Alligator mississippiensis: one gene and its partner. The protein of the gene in region 1 binds, or shares a complex with, the protein of each later gene. Links are inferred from orthologs where the notes say so. Each region holds a gene or a part of one and is shown on either strand. Other genes may lie near its edges.

Evidence for each region. The genes of interacting proteins can lie anywhere in the genome.
Region 2: C12H9orf78 (region 1) and PPP1R8 share a complex: the UniProt entries of both Homo sapiens proteins name them as parts of the spliceosome. The link is inferred for Alligator mississippiensis from reciprocal best matches to the Homo sapiens genes C9orf78 and PPP1R8.

Annotation. Positions count from the first base shown.
Region 1 is NC_081835.1:58,724,643-58,735,044, reverse strand, and holds the start of C12H9orf78 (splicing factor C9orf78 homolog), read left to right. Parts: upstream 1-6,182; 5' UTR 6,183-6,243; coding exon 6,244-6,323; intron 6,324-7,338; coding exon 7,339-7,398; intron 7,399-8,472; coding exon 8,473-8,524; intron 8,525-8,790; coding exon 8,791-8,861; intron 8,862-9,057; coding exon 9,058-9,135; intron 9,136-9,610; coding exon 9,611-9,808; intron 9,809-10,159; coding exon 10,160-10,296; intron 10,297-10,402. UniProt on the Homo sapiens protein: Plays a role in pre-mRNA splicing by promoting usage of the upstream 3'-splice site at alternative NAGNAG splice sites; these are sites featuring alternative acceptor motifs separated by only a few nucleotides. May also modulate exon inclusion events.
Region 2 is NC_081829.1:16,743,048-16,753,368, reverse strand, and holds the start of PPP1R8 (nuclear inhibitor of protein phosphatase 1), read right to left. Parts: upstream 4,746-10,321; 5' UTR 4,639-4,745; coding exon 4,577-4,638; intron 1-4,576. UniProt on the Homo sapiens protein: Inhibitor subunit of the major nuclear protein phosphatase-1 (PP-1). It has RNA-binding activity but does not cleave RNA and may target PP-1 to RNA-associated substrates. May also be involved in pre-mRNA splicing.

The DNA of each region.
Region 1 (10,402 bases):
GCTCCGATTACACTACGTGTGCTTAACTTCGTACATGTGAATATTCCCGTTGAACTCCATGTGACTACTCGTGTACTTGCAGGTATACACACGCATTAAATCTTCGGCAGAATTTGGAATTTGATCTTCCCACTTGTTTCTAATGCTTTGCTTTTTAATACAGCTGGGGAAAGGGGTCAGTTCTGCCTACCGAGCAAGTCAGGACATGGTTAAACTGTAACTGAGTTTAGCAACCGTTATTAAATAAAGAAAAGGTCTTGTTTTTTTCCCCTCTGAGAGACTGCCTCAAGGGCTTTAACTGGAACATACAGGTTCTGAGTCAGGCATTGCTTAAGAAAATATGAATTTCTTAATTAAAACCTTGCCAAAACCTTCTCTGTTGCTTATCAAAGTTTAAAACAAGGTGCATGAAGGGAAATTAAGTTACCTTAAAATAAGTCTTCCCCAGCCGGGCTCTTTCCCAGCAAGCCCTGCAGAAGAGCAGTACACGGACATATCACAATAACCAATCCTACTCTGACCTACTGAAAGACTGGAATTGCTGCCAAAACCGGTGGTTGATCCCACCCAACAACATATTTCTGTCCTCTTGCTAAAAACCAACAATGTGCTGATAGCATCTATGCCAAAACCAGGCTCAGATTGCAAACACTTTTGCACAAATTAACCTAGTATGTCTTATGCAACAAGCGTCTGCCTGGGAAAAAAAAATCTGTGAAAAAAAAACTTGGCCTGTTTCATCTGGAAAACAAGTTACAAGAACTAACTAGTTAATCCTCACGTTACCCACAAGATGATAATACTGCGGAGATGTACCCATCTGCATTTTATAGATGGGGAAATAGACACCAGAAATATTCAGTGAAATTCTCACGGCAACGTTAAAAAAAATCAATTTCCGAGATGAAACAAAATCAGAACCCAGCTGTTCTTTAGCTTCCAGTCCTATGGCCAGAGAACAGCTCAAACTGGACAAATAAAGGAAGCAGCATTTTTAGCACGGATTTATTTTTTGAAGTCACTGGAAATGGCACACATTTAGCTCTCAGGCTTGCAGGGGCGTTAGGCATTTAATCTGCTCCCCAGAAATGCAACTCTTTCCATATAATAGGCCCAGAAAAGCTACTCTCATCTCCTGGTTATATAGCCTTAAAAAATAAGCTAGAATTTTAGCCATGAGAAAGGTTAGCTTGTGATCCTGTGCACAACTGGAAGAGAGGCTGAATCAGTAGATACAACACATGCAGGAAACACCCCCCCCCCCCGAACAAACTCTGATACCTGTACTTTGAGGCCAGCGCAGTTCTTTCTTCAACAATTATGCCATAATAATTATCAAAGGACATCACTTAGACACAGGTGCTCATCGTTGCTTAGGAGAGGATGCAAGTTCCTGGATTTCTGCTAAATAAGACAGAGAAGGAGTTCATCAGCATGTAAGGACCACCAAGCACCGAAATACCAGCGGTAGCAAACCCCAGGCAGCGTGGTTCCAGCCAAGCAATCGGTTGCCTTTCCTGGTGGAAGCAGCAAGCATTACTCATCATTTTCCCAACAGCTGGTGCTGCATCATCCCCCCACCCCCTGCTTCACAGGCTGAGCTTTCAAGCTGGCTGCTTCTGTGTTCTTGTTTCCCACTTACTGATCAGCAATATTTAATGAATGTGGTTCTTAATATACCTTTTAAGATAAAAGCCTATTATCTTGCCAAGGGACTCAGCTCAGAGCAAAGATCACAGTGCTAAGCGCCAAGATTGGAAAGATCAACAACACAATTAACTGCTGGAGGCACCAGGGTTTTGGGGGGGAATCCTACATGTGCTGGAAATGCTCGGGTCCCGGGGCTTTCTTCTGGCAGCTCTGGAATCTCAAGAATTGAGGAAACCGGGGCTGCATCATACCTGTGCCAAGGTAGCGACCGCGCAGGGCTCCCAGGCTGGTTTTCAGAGTGGGGGTAACTGCTTTGTCACCCCAAGACCCTTCGCACCCGATGACACGGACACACCCTTCCCACGGGACAGTGGAGAATGCAAAAGCAACCCCTTGTCATCAAACTCCCCCGATCTGCACCTCCAGCGGAGACGACATCCTGACCCCACCCTTGTGCCTCATCCCCAAGTAGTAGCAAGCCCCCAAACCTCTGCAACCCCGCCGTGATGCCTCTCCTGCCTCCCCCCTTCAGGGAACGCGGCGCCGTCACACAGGGGGCCCCGTGGGCTGCACACCCTGGAGACCCTACCCCCTGCAGCATGCGGACCCCCCCCAAACAACCAGAGCAAGCCTCTGGGCCCCCTACCCCAGCGAGGTCAGTCCTGTCTGGAGTCACGCAGCCGCTCCAGAGACCCCGGCCTCCCCATCCCAGGCAGGGGGCGTCTCCCCACCGCCTCTCCCCCTGCGCCAGGCAGGGACGTGGCTTTGACAAGTCACCGACACCCTGTGCTTAATTGCGGGGTGCCTGGAGGAGCACGGCGGGCACCGAGAGCAGCTCCCTCCCCAGCCCCTCTGAAGCCGACCCCCAGGCTTGGCTGCCTGGCTGCTCCCTGGAGCCACAGGGCGGCTGGCCCTGGAAGGAGGGATGCCCCCCACCAGCTCCCTGGGTGGCCGGCTACGAAAGGCCGGGGCTTCGGTCCCTTGGCTAGGCCCCAGCGTGCCTGCTCCGCCTGGGGAAGGGGATGGGGAGGCCAGCACCGCGGCCAGGGAAGGGGCTCAGCCCCAGAAGCAGCATGGAGGGGCAGGGAGGGAGGCCAGTTACCTGCTGCCGGAGGGAGGAGGGAAGCCAGCGCCTAGGAGCTGCAGCTTGGCGGCATGGGAGGAGCCAGGGGCTGGGCCAGGGAGGGGAGAGAAGGACGAGCCAGGCCTGGAGGGGGAAGGAGGCAGTGGGCATGCAGAGGCAAAGGATGGGGGCCCTCCACGCCCCTGGCAGCGAGCTGCACAGGCGGTCCCCTGGGGCAGCTCCCATGGTGCATGCTGGGCTGAAGGGAGCTGGCCAGCTCCCTGGCCACGAGGTTTCCATACCCCTGCGTGGACTGCCAGGAGACACGGAAAGGCGCAGCAGAGCGGCCCAGGCTGGGTGGGGCGGTCCAGACAGGAGCCCCAGACCAGCGCTGGCTGCAGAGAGGATGGTCACCGCACGCATCGGAGCTGGACCCCACATGGGGCATTCACACCTTGGTCCCCACCGCTCAGATGTCCCCCCCAAATGGAGCCCAGGAGCAGGCTGGGTAGGACAGGGCATGGCTACGCGCAGGGCAGCACTGCACGCAGCGAGGAGCTGGGCGCAGAGCGCCGCAGAGCCTGCTGGCATCGACCCGACAGCGGAGAGCGTTGGCAAGGCAAGCACCTGACATACTGGCTCTGGGCTGATTAAGAAAGGATGGGGACGGACCGTGAAGGGAGGTTAACACGGCTGTAGTAAGTCACGGGGAACACTACAGATGGAGTTGACAGCATATTGTTTTACCAGAAGAAACGATCCTCAAACTAGCGAACTCCAGTCTAGGGGATGAGGCGCAGACCACGCAGGAACCAAGGGCACGTTCAGCACCCACGTGACAGCTCAGTCTAGTTACTCCTTTACTGCAAAGCAAAGATGCTCAGGCCATCCTGTACGCCTGTGGTCTAGAGCTAGCACAGCGCATCCCAACTTCCTGACTGGTGCCTCCAGCTACCACTGTAATGCAAATAATAACAGGAGGAGAAATATAGCTCCTTGCTTCTTCCAAAGGCTGGAGAATATATGCCGCATACTAGTGCCCGGGTACAGAATGCAAGTGCAGCAGTTTTGCAGCCTGGCTCCAGCCTTTGACAGGGCTGCAGAGATTTCCACGGCTTGGCAGCCCTTTTAGCAACTATTCTTTGTCCTTACACAGACCTCAGCTTTACTCTTCCTCCCTCTGGGCTGTTGTCGCTGTTCTGTGCTAAAAGCTATGCTCTCTCCAAGGTGTAAAAGGGCAGGCACAGGGGGAAGGCTATTGATCTTTGTTATGCACTAGACCATCCCAAAAAACCCCAACCCAAATCTGTTTCCCAAGCTCTTGGTTGATAGTTGCTTAAAATGTTGATAACATAATAATTAATCATACCTAGTATTTCTCATCCGCAGAGCGAACCATAAAGGCCCGTGGGCACCCATCTGGAGACATCTCATGTTGCAATGTCATTGCACAGGCCCGGATCCTTCACGTGTTTTCAAGAATCTACTTACACGAACCAGGGCATAACGGCACCCATGCACCAAAGCTGTACTGGGGGAGTTTCTATACATCTATATTGGGATCTCAGCCAATTGGTAGCCAAGATGACTAATTAGCAAAGTCCCCCATCCAGTGGCTAAATCTGCATCCTGCAACATTTACTGGCCCTGCAAAATCACATCTGATGCCAGGAGGTTGTTATACAAGCCGGAAGGGAAAAGAATCTGTCCAGCAATGCAAGCCACTCGTCCTTTGCAGATTATACAGGAAGTTCTCAGTGAGGAATATTTGTAAACACCTGCTCCTTGCTTCTTGTTGAAGTGCTCATAAGAAGCCAGCAGCATAATGCACACTTTTCCCCCCATTAGCTGTAATGCAAGATTGCCGACACAAATAACTTGTGATGTACAAATAAACACCACCAACTTCACAGCCTCAGAGCACTTGGGGACAAATGCAGGTTCCATCAGAGTCAATAGCAGAGCTCTTTTTGGCCTCAGTCAAGTCAGAAGTTGCTCCTTATTGAATATAGGACATTTGGGCTGAGAAAATAAAATCTTGAAAATGGGGTGATTTGGTAACAACCTAATGCTCTGTGCTGCTACTGCATCCTTCCCATAAGGCTCACAATTTTTTTTTTACTGACAGTAACTCCTGCGTGCGATAGGAATTATCCCTGATCTACAGATGCCGAAACCGAGTCAGAGAGAGGCTAACAGACGCGGCATAATTGCTACACCGCATCCCTTGGAAAATATTCTTCCACCCGGCAAACAACCCAGGGTGTTGCACACAAACACACCAAACACGGCAGCAGCTTCTCTGCAGGGCATCCACGGTGGGTTTGAAGTCACGTGATAAATGGGGGTGCAGAATTTGGTTTGTCGGCATTAACAAAATGTGATTTGGAAACGCTTATTCATTTAAGAGATGAATTTGGTTTGTCGGCATTAAAATGCAATTTGGAAACGCTTATTAAGAGAATCCGCGAGTAATTTTAAAAGAAAAGCCGACTCGCAGAATCACGCGAGCAAACAAAAGATCTGTGCTCGCGGGTGCTGGATTGCTCCCTGCAGCATGTTTGCTATTGGGTCCAATCCAGTTTAAACGCCTGGAGCAACGGGGCTCCTAGGGCAAGGCAGCAGGTCCCCGAGCCTCTGCTTCAACTCTTCTAAATCCTTTCACTTTTTCGGACAATTGTATTGTTATGGTTTTTTTATTACGTTTCGTAAAGGGTAACTGATGTAGCGTTTCATTGCAGGCCGTCCTCGACTTAAGACGTGTCGAGCTCCAACGACCCGGCGGCATTTACAAGGTTTATAAATTGACGCCCGTTTCGACTTCCTGACCTGTTTCGACTCGATCCGACGCCACGCCACGAACACAGTGGCTGCGTCGCCCGTCTCCCTGCACAACGCCTGCCCCAACCGCCTCGGACACTTTCTTTAAGAAAGCGGCCGAGACTCCAGCCAACAACAAGCCCAACCCAGAGCCCTTCCAAACGTCCAAAGTCACCCCAAAGAAGTGCTTCCCAATCAATATGATTGCTATTTACAATATAAATGCACAAATGCCGCGTGCGCCGGAGGCTGGGGGACACGACGGGCACGTGCAAGGGTGCACTGCCACGCTCGGGGGGGCACGTGCCCCCCCGCCACGTCACCAATGAATGCAGCTGCATTACTCATCTAGCACCAATGCGGGGTGACTTGTGGCTACCTTTGGGAGCCACCCCCCGTGGACAGCATCTTTTCCTAGGGGACAATCGGTTGCGAGGGACCACACGTGGACCCCCAGCAAGGGGCAGCGTCCACACGGACTCGGCCCGGGCCAGGGGAGACGCTGCCGGAGCAGACTGCGCAGCCCTTGCAGACGCGCCGGACAGGAGCCGAGAAACAGCGAGTCAGACCTGGGCGGAGTGGCGCAGCGCGCCACGAAGGGCACGCCCGCGGCTTCGGCACGCACCGCGTAGTCATCGCGCCCACTGCGTCATCGCAGCGCGCCGGAAGCGCAGGGCACCCGGGGAGCCGAGCCGCAGGCCCGGGCCGCGATGCCGGCGGGGCGGGTGTTCCGGCGGCGCGCGGACTCCGAGGAGGACGAGGAGGACCAGCATGTCACCGAGGAGGTCCGGTGGGTGCGGGGCGAGAGGAGGAGGGGCCGTGTGAGCGGACTGTGGCACTGTCCTTGCGGGGGTGCGGGCGCCAGACCCGCGTTCAGCCGAGCTGGGGGTTTGCCGCCAGCGCCGGCCTAGAGCTGCTTGCCTCCGCGTCGGCCTCGCTCGCTGGGACTCGCAGTGACCCGGATAAGTGAACAGGACGATTGACTCGCGTGCTTTCCCGGCGTGTGCTCCCAATGTGATCGTTTCAGATTTGGCAACGCTGGAGCCGCCTGTGTACGTGCTGGCGCACACGCAGAGCCCCCCTGTGTGTGCGCCACGGCACGGGCGGCTGGTGCCACCGTAGTTGGGGGGGCACGTGCCCCCCCAGCGACTAGTTAGCGACTGGGGTCCCCCCTGCTGCCGATTCCCCGTGTCCGATCTCGCTGACCAAGGGCGGGGGTCCTCCGCAGCCAATCTCGCTGATTGCACCGACCGGGAGGTGGCCGCGGCACTTCATCCAGCGCTCCCGCTGCCCGCCCGGCGCTCGCACCTGCCTCCCCGCCTGTCACCGAAGCGGGGAGCGCGGCCTGTCAGGGGTGCACGTGCACCTCTGTGCACCCACTGTGCCACGGGCTGAGCTGTATCCCAACAGCGTGAGCTATTTTCCATTTTTCCTCTGGAAAAGAGTCAATGGTGCACAGCTGCAATTGTTTTACAGAGAAAAAGCTGAGGGTAGAAGCGATGAGGGGCCGCGCGGGGGTCAGGGAGAGTTCCGTGGAGTTACAGGAAATGATGTTTCTCCAAAAGGAACAAGGACTTTCAGTCTGTCCCTCCCTCCCGTATCCTGTAAAGCCCCCATCACAATCCTAGAAACTTTAGTATCAAAATAAATACAACTTGTAGTATGGCACACGACAGAGGAGTGTGAGGGCTACACAGGGCAATAACCCCCCCTTTTCCAATGCTTGACGTGAGAGTGGTCTGTGCGCTGGGGAGTGGGCGCAGAGGAGCCCCAACCAGCTCACAAAGGTAACGTTTTTCCTTCAGGCTGAAGCTCGAGGAAGCGAAGGAAGTGCAGAGCCTGAGGAGGCGGCCCAATGGGGTGAGGTGAGTGTCTCAGCAAACACACGCCAGCTCATGTTGGGTCAGAGACTTCCTTGTGGCTGTGAGTTGGCCTCCCTGTCGTCCGTACTCCCCGGCGCTGAAGGACGTCGCTGTGGCCCCAAGAACTGGGCCTGGGAGAGGAGAAGGCCTCTTGACGGTCCAAAGACCTGTAAAAGTTGGTACTGGGCACAGCTGCAGTCGTATGTAAACCATGTTCATGAATACTGGTTCCCTGTAGAGCTGCAGCCCAAAACCATGAAGAGTTTGGGCCTACTTTAAAACTGAAAGACCTTAAAGTTAGTTAACGATGGGTGCATCTACTTGAGATGCTTAATGCGCATTGGACTAATTCTACTGCGCATTATCGCATCATGGAAAAAGTGTGCTAATGCAGAGTAGATTTAGTTTAATGCACATTAACATCACAAAAAATGTTCATCTGGGCTAATGCACAGTAGAGCTGAAAATGGTGCATTAAGTTAGTACCTGTCATTAGAGGTACTAAACTTAATGCACCGTAATTATGGTGTGTTAATGAATGTGTGGATTTGCCCTCCCCCATGATTCTTCTGGTCAGATTTCTCTCTCAGAGTTGTGTCATATCACCATATGTTATGATGTGTGGATCAGTTTCTCATGTCTTAAACATCACTTTGTAACACGTGTAATAGATTATAAACAGGGAATTGGAAAACTAGTCTTTAAAATGAGTCTCACTTGCTATCATCCATGTGATCTAAGGAAGGAGGCTTGTTAGGTTATGCCAGGGTACTGAGAATCAAGGTTTGCTCTGTGTTGAATTCTGTTCCTCACGCTGACTCGCTTTGTGACCTTTTATGTCAGTTAATCATGCTTTGCCTCAGTTTTTCTGTGTGGAAAATGGGGCTCAGAGCTCCCTAAATTGGATGGATGATATATGTTTTAAATATTGAATATCAGCAAAACAGTTTGAGACCTTCAAGTAGATGTTGGAAAATACTAAAAAAAATTAATGTGGTATTTATAATGAATGATAATGCAAGAGCAGGGTTTTTTCACTCAGTGAATCTTAGTTTTCTTTTTTGTGTGCTTTGCTAGTGCTGTGGCCTTGCTTGTAGGGGAGAAAATGCAAGAAGAGACAACATTGGTGGTAAGTTGTGAATATTTCTGTTACCTTACTGCTGATAAATACCTGTGGGAAAGCATCTACTTTGTACAATAGATCGTTTGGAAAACTTAGTTTTGGGTAGCAACTGGCCATCATAAAAGGCTAGTAGGATATAGCAGCCTAATGGAGGGAATTTTAGGCATTTTTACCAGATGCTCAGAGAAGAGGGTTTTCCAGAAAGTAACTTTGGGGCTGGTATAGATTAAGGGACATATTTCATGCCTTTGAATTGTTTCTGCTTTTTGTAGGATGACCCTTTTAAGATAAAGACAGGTGGGATGGTGGACATGAAAAAGCTGAAAGAACGAGGGAAAGACAGGTGAGTGTCTGAGAAGTCTGAAATGACTCTTCCTTTAATGCTAGAGAGTTGGCAGCACGCAGGACTCTTTCAGTATTGAAGAAGGAAGGTGAAGTGCTTCAAGCATTGTGCTTTGAAGAATTTAAATGAAGTCGTTTGTCGGGTTGCTTATAGTCAGTGAATTATTTAGTAACGTAATATTCTTGTTAATATTTAGGATTAATGAAGAGGAAGATCTCAACCTGGGAACCTCTTTCTCAGCAGAAACCAACAGGAGGGACGAAGATGCTGACATGTAGGCATTTGCTGTGTTTATATGTAGTGATTCACCATGAGGAATGAAGTGCCTTAAGGCTATTTTTTTCCCAGGAACTAAGTGTTTGTAGAATATTTTCCCGATTTACCATGAAGTTTCTTCTTGGGTTTTTTCCCCACCCTGGGGAAACCAGCCTGAGGAGGAATTAACTTGTAATTAAAGTCAACACTTGCTGGCCAACCATGTGGTCCACTGGCAGTGTGTACATTATGTACTAGGAGGAACCATCCCTATCAATTGGGGGGAAACAGCCTTGACATTGTAGGAAGAAACTGATTATCTTTTGAACAAAGTAACTGTTCTGATTTCCAGTACCTCCTTCTGGCTGAGGAGGATTTATCTGCATCTTCTTCCCAGCCAGTGACATAGTGACACAGCTGTGGCCAGAGGTAATGGACAGGAGCATGAGTAATAAATGTAAGTTGCAGCTGTCTCTCTGATTGCTGTGGCACAGGATGAAGTACATTGAGACTGAGCTGAAGAAGCGGAAGGGAATTGTGGAAAGCGAGGAGCAGAAAGTGAAGCTGAAGAATGCCGAGGACTCCCTGTACGAGCTGCCTGAGAACATCCGCGTTTCCTCAGCCAAGAAGACTGAAGAGATGCTGTCCAATCAAATGCTGAGTGGCATTCCTGAAGTGGATCTGGGCATCGAGTATGTAGTTCATACTTCTATTACTGACAGCCTGAATTTCCCGGGTGATTGGTGCACATTGGTTGGTTAGGGCCCTGTGGGAGGATGCATGCAGAACGTCAGCGTGTGCTCTTTGGGCAAGGATATCCACTTCGTTCTTTTTTGTACCCTGCCTGGCACAGTGGAGTCCTGAGCTATGACTAGACCTCCTAGGCAGTACCATAACACAGCTACTGATGATCAGAGACTTTGGTTTCTGGGTACGTCATAGAGCACCTTCCCATAAGATTAATTTGTGCCCAGCACTATGACAGGTGGATAGAATGGTCCTCTTCTGAAAAAAATCAAGTCTCCACTGCTTTTTCTCTGCAGCGCAAAAATAAAAAACATCATCTCGACTGAGGAGGCCAAGGCGAGGCTGTTGGCAGAGCAGCAAAACAAGAAGAAAGACAGTGAAACCTCCTTTGTTCCTACAAATATGGCTGTGAACTATGTCCAGCACAACAGATGTGAGTGTTGTATCGCTCCGGCTTGATATTTCCCAACCATCAGTAAAAACGAGTAGAACCTATTACTCGTGGCTTAACTTTCTACACCCATGCTCCCAGTTGACTG
Region 2 (10,321 bases), on another chromosome or scaffold:
TCTATGCAGGGTGTTTGCTGGAAGCTGAAATTTTAGAACATTAAGTGAAAACAGCTTAGTTATTACCAAGAAATACTAGGGAACAATGTTATATTGTTCCTTTAAAAATACTGCAATGATTTGAGAAGTTTTTACTTGCATGCTCTGCAGATTGGCAAAAATGCTGCTACTGTATCAGGGGTCCACCTTTCTGCTTTTGCAGTGAAAATCTGCCAAGTCTGGATAAATTATAAGTCTGAAAAACTTCAGTTCATTCACAATTAGTAGAAATTTGCAAAAGCATACAGTATTATTCTATGAAGTTTCCGCCTGTGTCAAGTATACTTCCTTCCCATACCACTCCTAGATGCTAGTCAAACCAAGTATGCTCCATATCAAAGTTAGGGGCACATAGGACACTATGGATCCACTGTTAACTACCCAGGGGAACTCTTAACAGAAGATACAAAGAAGGCAGAGCTACATAACAGCTATTTTGCCTCAGTCTTCACAAAAAAATTAAGCTACAGCAAGGCACCTAATAAGGATTATCTGGATAAAGAAGGGGGCCAGTTGAGGGAGGAGATAATATAAGAGACTGTCAGAGAGCTTTTGATGGGTCTGAATGAATTGAAGTCAGCAGGGCCAGATGAACTTCATCCCAGGGTACTGAAGGAACTGGCAGAGGCACTCTCACAGTCCTTGGCAATGCAATGATCTTCATGAAGTTGTGGAAGATGGGTGAGGTACCAGAGCACTGAAAAAGGACCAATGTAGTGCCCCTCTTAAGAAAAAAAAAATAAGGAAAAAGAAACAACAAAAAAGGGAGGACCTGAGATTAGCCTCACCTTAATAGCTGGGAAATTATTGGAGCATATCCTAAGGAAGTTCACTGGAAAGCATCTGGAGGAGGAAAGGCTGATTGCAAGTAGCCAACATGGATTTATAAAAAACTTAAACTCCTTTGGAAAAGTAACTACTTGGGTGGATGAACGGAATACTCTGGATATAGTATATCCGGACTTCAGAAGGCTCTTGACAAGGTCCCCCCACAAGCTTCTTGTAAACAAATTGAAGAAATGTGGGCTACTAGACAAAACTGCTATAAGGTGGACAGAAAACTGGTTCAAAGGCCACAAAATTAACAGGTCCATGTCAGAATAGCAGGAGGCTTTGAGTGGAATCTCACAGGGAGTCTAGTCTGGGCCAGATGCTGTTCAATGTATTTATTAATTATCTGGATACTTGCATATAAAGCTTTTTGAGATTTGTGAACTACATGAAACTGAGAAGGACTGTGAACATGGAAGGTTGTGAGGGCAATTCAGAAGGATCTCAAGAAATTGAAAAGCTGGGCTGAAGCTAACAGAATAAAGTTCAATGCTGACAAGTGCAAGGTACTAGACCTCAGGAAGAATAATCAAAAACACAAATACAAAATAGGTGACACCTGGCTGAATGGCAACACTATGGAAAAGGATCTGGGAGTCTTGGTAGATTACAGACACAGCTGCACAAAAAGCAAATGTGGTTTTGGGATGTATCCACAGAAGAATTAGGTGCAAGATGGGGGAGGTGATGGTGACTCTCTACTCTGCATTGGTTAGGACTCACCTAGAGTACTGTTTGCAGTTCTGGGCTCCACATTTTAACAGGACATGGAGAAGTTGGAAAGGGTCCACAGGCAGGTAAGAAAGATGATAAAGGGCTTGGAAAGCAAATCATATGATGAGAGGCTGAAGGATTTAAGCATGTCCAACTTGCAAAAAAGGATGGGACATGATAGTGGTCTTCAAATACTTGAAGGGCTGCAATTAAGAGGAGGGAGAACACTTTTTCTCTCTTGCTGCAGCATGAGGTATACCAACGGCCTGCAGTTGCAGCAAAATTAGTTTAGATTGGATAGCTAGAAAAAACTTCTTCACTGTTAGAATACTGGGGCAGTGGAATAGACCACGGTTTCCCAACCAGTGTGCTGCAGCTAGTAAAGCAAGCAAAATGCTGCTTGCATCCATAGATGCTTCTCAAGCAAATCCCAGGATATCATTCTCCTATTGTACTTGGCCTTGGTGAGGCCACAGCTGGAGTACTGCATCCAGTTTTGGGCTCCACAATTCAAAAAGGATGTGGAGAACCTTGAGAGAGTGCAGAGGAGAGCCACGCGCATGATCAGAGGTCAGGAAAACAGACCTTATGATGAGAGGCTGAGAGCCATGGGACTCTTCAGCCTGGAAAAGTGCAGGCTCAGGGGTGATCTGACGGCCACCTATAAGTTTATCAGGGGTGTCCACCAGGTTCTGGGGGAATGTCTGTTCACCAGAGCACCCCAAAAGATGACAAGATCGAATGGTCACAAACTCCTCTGCGACCGAGTCAGGCTGGACATAAGGAAGAACTTCTTTACTGTCTGAGCCCCCAAGGTTTGGAATCGACTGCCGCCGGGGGTGGTTCAAGCATCCACTATGAACACCTTCAAGACACATTTGGATGTTTACCTTGCTGGGATCCTATGATCCCTGCTGACTTCCTGCCCCTGGCAGGGGGCTAGACTCGATGATCCTCCGGGGTCCCTTCCAGCCCGAATGTCTATGAAATCTATGAAAAGTGTGTAGTCAGAAATGAACAGGTATGCCGTGGAATTTTGCCATGGTAATGAGCTACAATAGGTATGAGGATGGAGAACGCCTTAACAGGTGTGCTGCAGAAAACGTTTATTAATGTAAGTGTGCCTTGGGCTAGAAAAGGTTCGGAAACACTGGAATAGACTGCCGAGGGAAGCTGTGGACTCTCTATCATTGGAGGTGTTCAAGAAGAGGTTGGATAACCACTGGTTGGAGATGGTCTAGGCATAGCTAGTGGGGTGGGGTGGGCAAAATGATGGAGCTGGCTAACAACTGGACTCCATTTCCCAGCAGCTCCTGCCTGCATGGCTGGGAAACCATGCTCCATGGAGACCCCAGCCATGATAGTACAAGGCAGGGGTTGCCATGAAGACCAGCCCCAGCCATGCTGGCAGGGAGCGCAGCAGGGCAGGGGTTGCTCCAGAGCCAGTGGGATCTTGCGGCAGAAGCAGCTTGGTCAGGGGCCAGGGCAGAGCTGCAATCTGCAGCACGCACAGTCCGGACAGTGGTGTGCAGGCAGCAGATCATGGCTCTGCCCCTGCTCCAGACCACACTGCCACTGCTGCAAGGACCCGGGGCAGAGCCGTGATCTGCAGCCTGCATGTCCCTGTCTGCAGCATGAAAGTTTTCCACCCCGAACAAAACCCTACCAGAAAGCAGTGAGGGAGGTGTCCATTGTTGCTCCTGCTCCTGTTACATTCTGACATGACCTCTCTGTCAGGGCCCAGGGTTTGGGTCCCACTTGCCCACCCCTAGTTATGCTCCTGGGTTGGGTATAGGCTAGAAAGAGAGCATAAGCAAAGGTGAGCAGAGCAAGGACATTCATAGAAAAAAATGCATAACCCTCTCCAGAACATTGAAATGAACCAAGGATCTGGAGCTTCAGTATTTTTCTGCCTGGAAAATAGCTGTGAATCTCACTGACAAAATATGAGAGCTCCATTTAGCATCCGGAAGGTAACAGGTTGCTACAGCTACCAGCTACTTCACCATGTTGTAGAAGTCTGTAGCGTCAAGCTCCCAGCCCTGCTGATGATTCATGTGGGAGTCAGTATCATCTAAGAGATTTTCTTTTTACTTAAAAAAAGAAATAAAGAACATTCAAACTGCAGAGGCAAGTACAGAGCTTAGTGACTGCCAGAAAGGAGGCTGCACGTGGAACTGGACGTCCAACCTCTTGTTTGCAGACTTGATCACACCGGTCTCAATTGCACAGAGGCTTTTCCTTCTGACTGTTAACTGCTACAAAAATGTCATAGACATTACGGCTGGAAGGGGCCTTGCAAGATCACCAGGTCTGTACTCACAAAAATATACTCAAAATGTTTGCGCTCAAGAAAAAAAATTTGAAATACCTCCAAATGAGCACCCAAAGGAGCCAGCAATTCATAATTTAGCCTCAATCTCTTTGTGCTACCTAACTGTTTCACAGGTGGAGAATCACCAATAAAACGCTGAGGGGCACCTACAAATGTGCTCCAGACCTTCAAAAACAATGAGGACGAAGATCAGAGAAAACCCCAGGAGTAAATTACCGAAGTTTTTATCTGGCGCAGGGTGTAAAGGGGGTGCAGGATTATAAAGCACATACAATGAGGGGCGCGGGGGGGAACGGTCAAGTAAACAGTGGTTCAGAAACTACCATCAACCGGCCGCTGAATGAGGCAGGGTCCCGTGGAGGAAAACCACCACAGCTGCAGGCACCGAGCCCTCCTCAAGGAGCAGCCTCGGCCCCGGCCCGCTCCCTGGTGGCCGCCGTACTGGACAGCAGCGCTTCTGGTCATCTCAAACTGGGCTGCTCCTCGCTGCGCCGGGCCCGGGGAGGCGGAGTCCACCTTCCTCCCGGCCTGCAGCTGCAGCCGAGGGAGCTGGGAGCGGGCGCAGGCCCCGCACCGCCGGCCCGGCCCGGCCCGCCCGCCCCGCACGAAACCGCCCCCGGCTCCGCCCGGCGCGGCGCGGCGCGGCGCGGCGCTCACCAGCTCGGGCACTCGAACAGCGACCCGCCGCCGCCGCCACCCGAGTTCGCGTTCGCAGCCATCTTGCGTCTGCCCCATTCAGCGCGCCAGGGCAGGATGGGAAACAGGCGGACCGCCGCCGCCGGGCGCCATCCCAGGATGCATCGTGCGACACGTCAGAGCGAGAGCACGGCTGGGTGGAGGGGGTAGTGCGCATGCGCGGGCGCCGCGCGAAGGGGCGGGGGAAGTCTGCCACGTTACGTCACGGCGCGTCACACCAGTGGCGCGCGGGGGATTCGAAGAGGCTGCGCGTTCGGAGGCCGGCGCGGAGGGGGGGCGGGAAGTGGTAGGAGCAGTACGAGAAGGCCGAGCCGCTCAGCACGTGGGTGAACGGGACGCGCCTCCCCTGCCTGCTACAGCAGTGCCGAAAACAACCTGCAGGCTGGGCCCGTGAGACGTTGCGGGCAGGGGAGCCGCGAGGGGCCCGGCCTCTGTTGTGGCAGCGCAGCCCTGGCCGCTTCCCCACTGTGCCCCCAAAAGCCAAGCAAAATGCCTTCGCTGCCAGGTCTGCACCTCCACCTGCCCCTGTGCCACGGTCTTTGGGGGTGCCGTAAGCGGGTGGGTTGCAGCGTTCAAGCTGACTAACTCTGGACTTGTGAAAAGCCTTTGACAAGGTCATTGAATCTCAGAAAATGACAGTTGCGAGGGACCTCAGTGTCACAACCCAAAGTTGTGATTTTTTGTTTGTGTGTGCTTCGGCACTGCTAAATTATTTTTCCCGCTAAATTGCAGCTTCCTTGCACGGTGGAGTTTTCTGCTGCAGAAGAGAACCCCGGTGCAATGGAGAGCAACAGAGGCCTGAACAGCCTCTATCCTCTCCCCGTCGCCGATAAATTCTTAGACGTATCCCTTCCTGCATATTAAAGATACGAACCCGCGGAACTTCAACAACTCCGGGGCAAGAGAACCGAACCGAACCCACGGAGCTTCGACAACTCCGTGGGAGAGAAATTACCGAACCCGCGGAGCTTTAACAACTCCGGGGCTAGAATGAATTTGTCGTAGTCCTCCAACAAGGATTTAAGCGGAGCTGCACCTGGAAACTGTCCAGCCTACACCGCAACCATCTTGGGTGTAAGTAAATAATCTTTAAATCAACCACTACGCGTCCGTGACTAATTCTAGCTCGCCTCCGGTCTCCTCCGGCCCCGTGTGCCCAGGCTGCTGGCCACAGCCCGCGTGCGCAAAGACGGGCCCAGCTCGCCCCCAGCCCACACACTCAGGAGGCCACATCTCGTCCAACCCCTGCTTGGAGCAGGACCAGCCCCAGCTAGATCATCCCAGCCACTGGCTTTGAATTGCTGGGTTTTAAAAACCTGCAAGGATGGAGATTTCACAGCCTCTGTGGGTAACCTGTTTTTGTGCTTTACTACTGTGCCAGTGAGAAAGTTTTCCCTAATATCTAACCTAAACTTCCCTTGCTGCAACTTGAGCCCATTGCTCCTTGTTCTGTCATCTGCCACCACTGAGAACAGTCCAGCTCCATCCTCTTTGGACCCGCCCTGCAGGTAGCTGAAGGCTGCTATTAAATCCTTGCATCTTATTTTCTCCACACTAAATAAGCCCAGTTCTCTCAGCCTCTCAAGTTGTGGTCACCAGCCCTATAGCCATCTTTGTTGCCCTTTGCTAGGCTTTCAGATTTGTCCTAAATGCTTTCTGTTGGGAGGTTGGGGGACAAAACTGGACATACTACTCCAGATGTGGCCTAAACTAATGCTGAATAGAGGGGAATAATCATTTCCCTGGATCTGGCAATGCTCCTACCAATGCAGCCTAATATACTGTTGTTGTTCTTTGCAACAAGCATTTCACAACAAGAGCTCATATTCAGCTTATTGTCCACTGCAACCCCTAGGTCCTTTCCTGCTGAGCTGCTGCTTGGCCAGCCCATACCAGTGCAAGGCATTGTTCTGTCTTAAGTGCAAGACTTCACACTTGTCCTTAGTGAAACTCATGAGATTGCTTTTGGTTCAGTCCTCCAATTTGTCTAGGTCTTTCTGAATCCTAGCTCTACCCTCAAGTGCTCCTGCTACTCTGGAGGCTAGGGTTAGGATTCAGGGAGACCTGGACCCATCAGAAGCTCTTAATGAAGTCAGGATTACAGGGAATGGCCACTCCTGGATTAGAGATTCGCTTAAAGGAACGGTGGGAAAAAACTTTGATCCTACCCAGTTCACTTTCCCATTCAGCATCCACTCTCTGCTCAGGAAAAGCGGGAGCTGGGCAGGGGTGCGAGGCAGTGGGCGAGCAGTGGCAGCCTTGTCCCAAGCCCTGAGCTGGGAAGGAGGCTCCTGCGGGTGGCGCAGAGGAAGTCCTGGGGCATGGGCAGCTGTTGCGAGGCGTGAAGCTCGCCTGCCCTTGCCCTTGCTCTTGCCCTTGCCCAGCAAAGAGGTGCACAGACGGCAGCCAGGTGGCAGCATGGGCAGGTGCACCTCCAGCACGCTGGATGAAAGTAAGTGCAGGAAGGGATTGGTATCTTCAAATGTTCAGCCTACTTTATTTAAATTTTATAAATATTTAATTTATTTAATAAACATAAAAAGTAAAATGTTTCTTTTTGTTAGAAATTCATCCGTCACTCTTGACAGGCAATTAGCTAGTAGATTAATAATAAGGGATCTGGAAGGGGACACTGAGCAAAGTACACAGGCCAGCAGCCACTGCCCCCTGAATGAGTCAAGGGAGCCTGGAGACATTGACCAGTGAAACTGTGCCCAGAAGAGTGACAGGAAGACAGCCCCACACTTGCCTGGGTTCCCCTGGCCAGTGCCTCTTTCTTGGTTTTATAGATGGCCAGTTTGGCTAGAGCCAGGAGGAGGTTGACCAGGACATCTTGGGGCTTGGTGGAGCCATGGATGGGAAGTGCACAACAAAAAAGGTACAGGGAGAAGTGCAGCCAGAACTACAGCAGGAGGTTTTGGAGGAGACAGAAGGGGGCCTGCAACCTGATGCACTTGAGGTAGACGTGCATCAGGGTCCTCTGTCGGCAAAAGGGGTAGGTGTTAGGAGTGCCTGTAAAGCACACCAGATACATGCCTGTGGTGACGGCTCCATGAAGAAGCCACTAGCTGAGGCCTCTTGGCTCATGGGATCAAGATGGAATAGAGACTTGTCTACCAGGGACTCTCCTCCCTGGCCTTGCCTAGGATGTCCCACCACTTGTTGTTGGGGCAGAACACAAGGACGAGATGATGGACTGTGCAGAGCATGAGTACACAGCTGGCGGCAGCGGGCCATTCAGAGGCAGACTGGCTTGAAATCCCCCAGCTTGCTGAGACAGTGGGGTAGGGAGTGCCATGGGGCCTGCTGATGCAGCAACTTCATGGCCAGGGATCCTGGTTTTCTCTGATAAAAAAAAAATCACAAATTCTGTGATTAAAATGAAATTCCACTATGTATATAGGTATCAGTTGAACACAATGTTTTATTGATATATTTACAATTTTAAAGCAATTTGGAAGCCTACCAGTGTCTCAATCACTATAATAAAATAAATTCTAAATGCCTATAAATTTTGGAGTTGGATTTGAGTTTTTTTATCATAGAAAATCAGAGCTTCTCTTGCCCCGTTTGCTCACCAGAACATGGGTCCAAGTCCCTCCTGCCCCACCCTCCCAGAGGGGACCTCCAACTGCCAGGGCCATAGGGTCAGGGACCTGGATCTGCAGTCCCCTGCCTCTCCCAGCAGTGCCCAAGCCCTGGCTGATGCCTGTGGGAGGTGGTGGCTGCTGCAGCCCAAGCAGGGAGCAGAGTGCAGCTCCCCTTCTCGCCCAGGGGGCACAGCCGGAACGGAGCCTTGGGTGGGGGACAGCTGTAGGCTTGGGCTTAGCCACAGGGGGACCCCAGGTGCCCCCCCAGACCCAGAAGGCACCAGTTGCCTAGCAGGGGGGTGAGGGGTGGTTCCCCCATAAACTCTGCAGCAGACCAGGAAGTGGACTGGAAGTACTTCTGGGCCTGCCCCTGAGCACATTGGAGACCGCCCCCGCCCCCCCATGCTCCCATGGGACGCTCCATCCGCCCCACCATCTCAGCATTCACGAACTGCGCCTGGTACCTTGAGGTATGTAGAAAAAACGTGCGTCTAGGGCCGAATCGTCAAATTTCTCCACATCTCTCTGAATTGAATTGGAGGCTTCTGATTCGATTTGGAGAGATTAACAAGTCTCTAGATTTGATTCGGATTCAGAGATTCGGCTGCTGAATTGGGCCAAATCTCTGAATTGAATCAGCAACCAAAGCTTTGCACATCCCTAATGCCCATATCTCCCTGAGAGTGTGCTCAGTGGCAGGGAGCCAGCCCCACCCCCCTGCCTCCTGGATGAGCCTCCTGCTCCTTGCTGGGGCCCTGCAACTATGCATGGTAGCCTTGGGCCCCAAGCCCCACCTGGTTGGGCAGCATCCCCAGCCCCAGTCCTGCTCAATTCTCCTCCCCCCCACCCCACCATGAGACCTACCTGCAGGGTGCTGCTCTCCAAGCTGCCTGGCGGCCATGTGCATGTACATGCTCATGGTGCCCCCTGCCTGATGTGGTGGGAGAAAACTCCCTAAAGTTCATTATCTAGCTGCAATAGAGACCAGACTATGCGGGTAAAGAACTGACAGTCATTTATTTGCTCCAGCAAAGACCACAAAGCCAGCAAAAGGCAAAATGGCCCCCCCTCAAGGGTGAGGCGATCTTTTATACTTTTTTACAATAAGGCAAGACTACAGGGTTAACAAAAGCAATTCTTGGGCGGTGCTTTATAAGTCTTTGTAACAGCATATTTCTATTAAGCTGAACTAGCACTTTTTAAAAGCTAAAAGTTAAGTAACAGTAACATTATGATAAGTTAGCAAAACCTTGCACAGTAGTAGATACTTCTTAAGGACACGATCACTGTACTTAGAACAATGGCTTCTTTGTCTTATCTTGCTTCTTGCTGTAGCTGATTTTCCAGCACACAGACACAGATCCACTTGCTGCATTTTACTCAGAAAATGCTTAACACCGTTAAAATGATTACTTGACACAAGCAAAGGCTTAGCTATTATTCTGCCTTGTGGTCAGCAGCATTGCTAGGCCACAGGTCATGCCTTGTATTCAGCTGCAAAGCTAATACTTCTTGATAATCCAAATTATTGTTAACCTAACAGTATGCTGCTATCAGAAAACTATTCTATTTCAGGGTAATAACAAACATGCTCACTACACTGACCACCCTCCTCCCACTCCCCCCAGCCTCTTGCATGCTGAAACTGCCAACCTGCAAAAAGCTCTTTGCAACAGTGGAAAATCTATGCATTTCTCTGTTAAAATGAGAAATCTGCATTTTCTCAGGGAAAATCTGTGGGTTTTTTCTGGCATAGTCCAGGAACCCTCCAATACGAGTGATGTTTACCAACACCACCACCTGGGTGGTTTTTTTGCAGGGGCCTGGTGAGGAGGTTAGCACCCTGGGTGACCATCTCTGGGGACCTGGTAACAGAAACCAACCTCTAGGCCCTGGGGAGGTCCTGGTAGAAATCTAGCAACCTCTCCAGGTCCTACTTTGGAAGATCTCATAGGTAGAAGAGATGCTAGTCATATCAGAACCCTTTGAGGCAGCAGAGAAAGGTGCAGCTGATCAGGCACCATATTGCCTTGCTCCTGGTACCATACAGGAGCCTTTGAAGGGCCTGAAGGTGGAAGGTGCATACCTGGTTGTGGAGGCAGACCAGGCCTTGCCT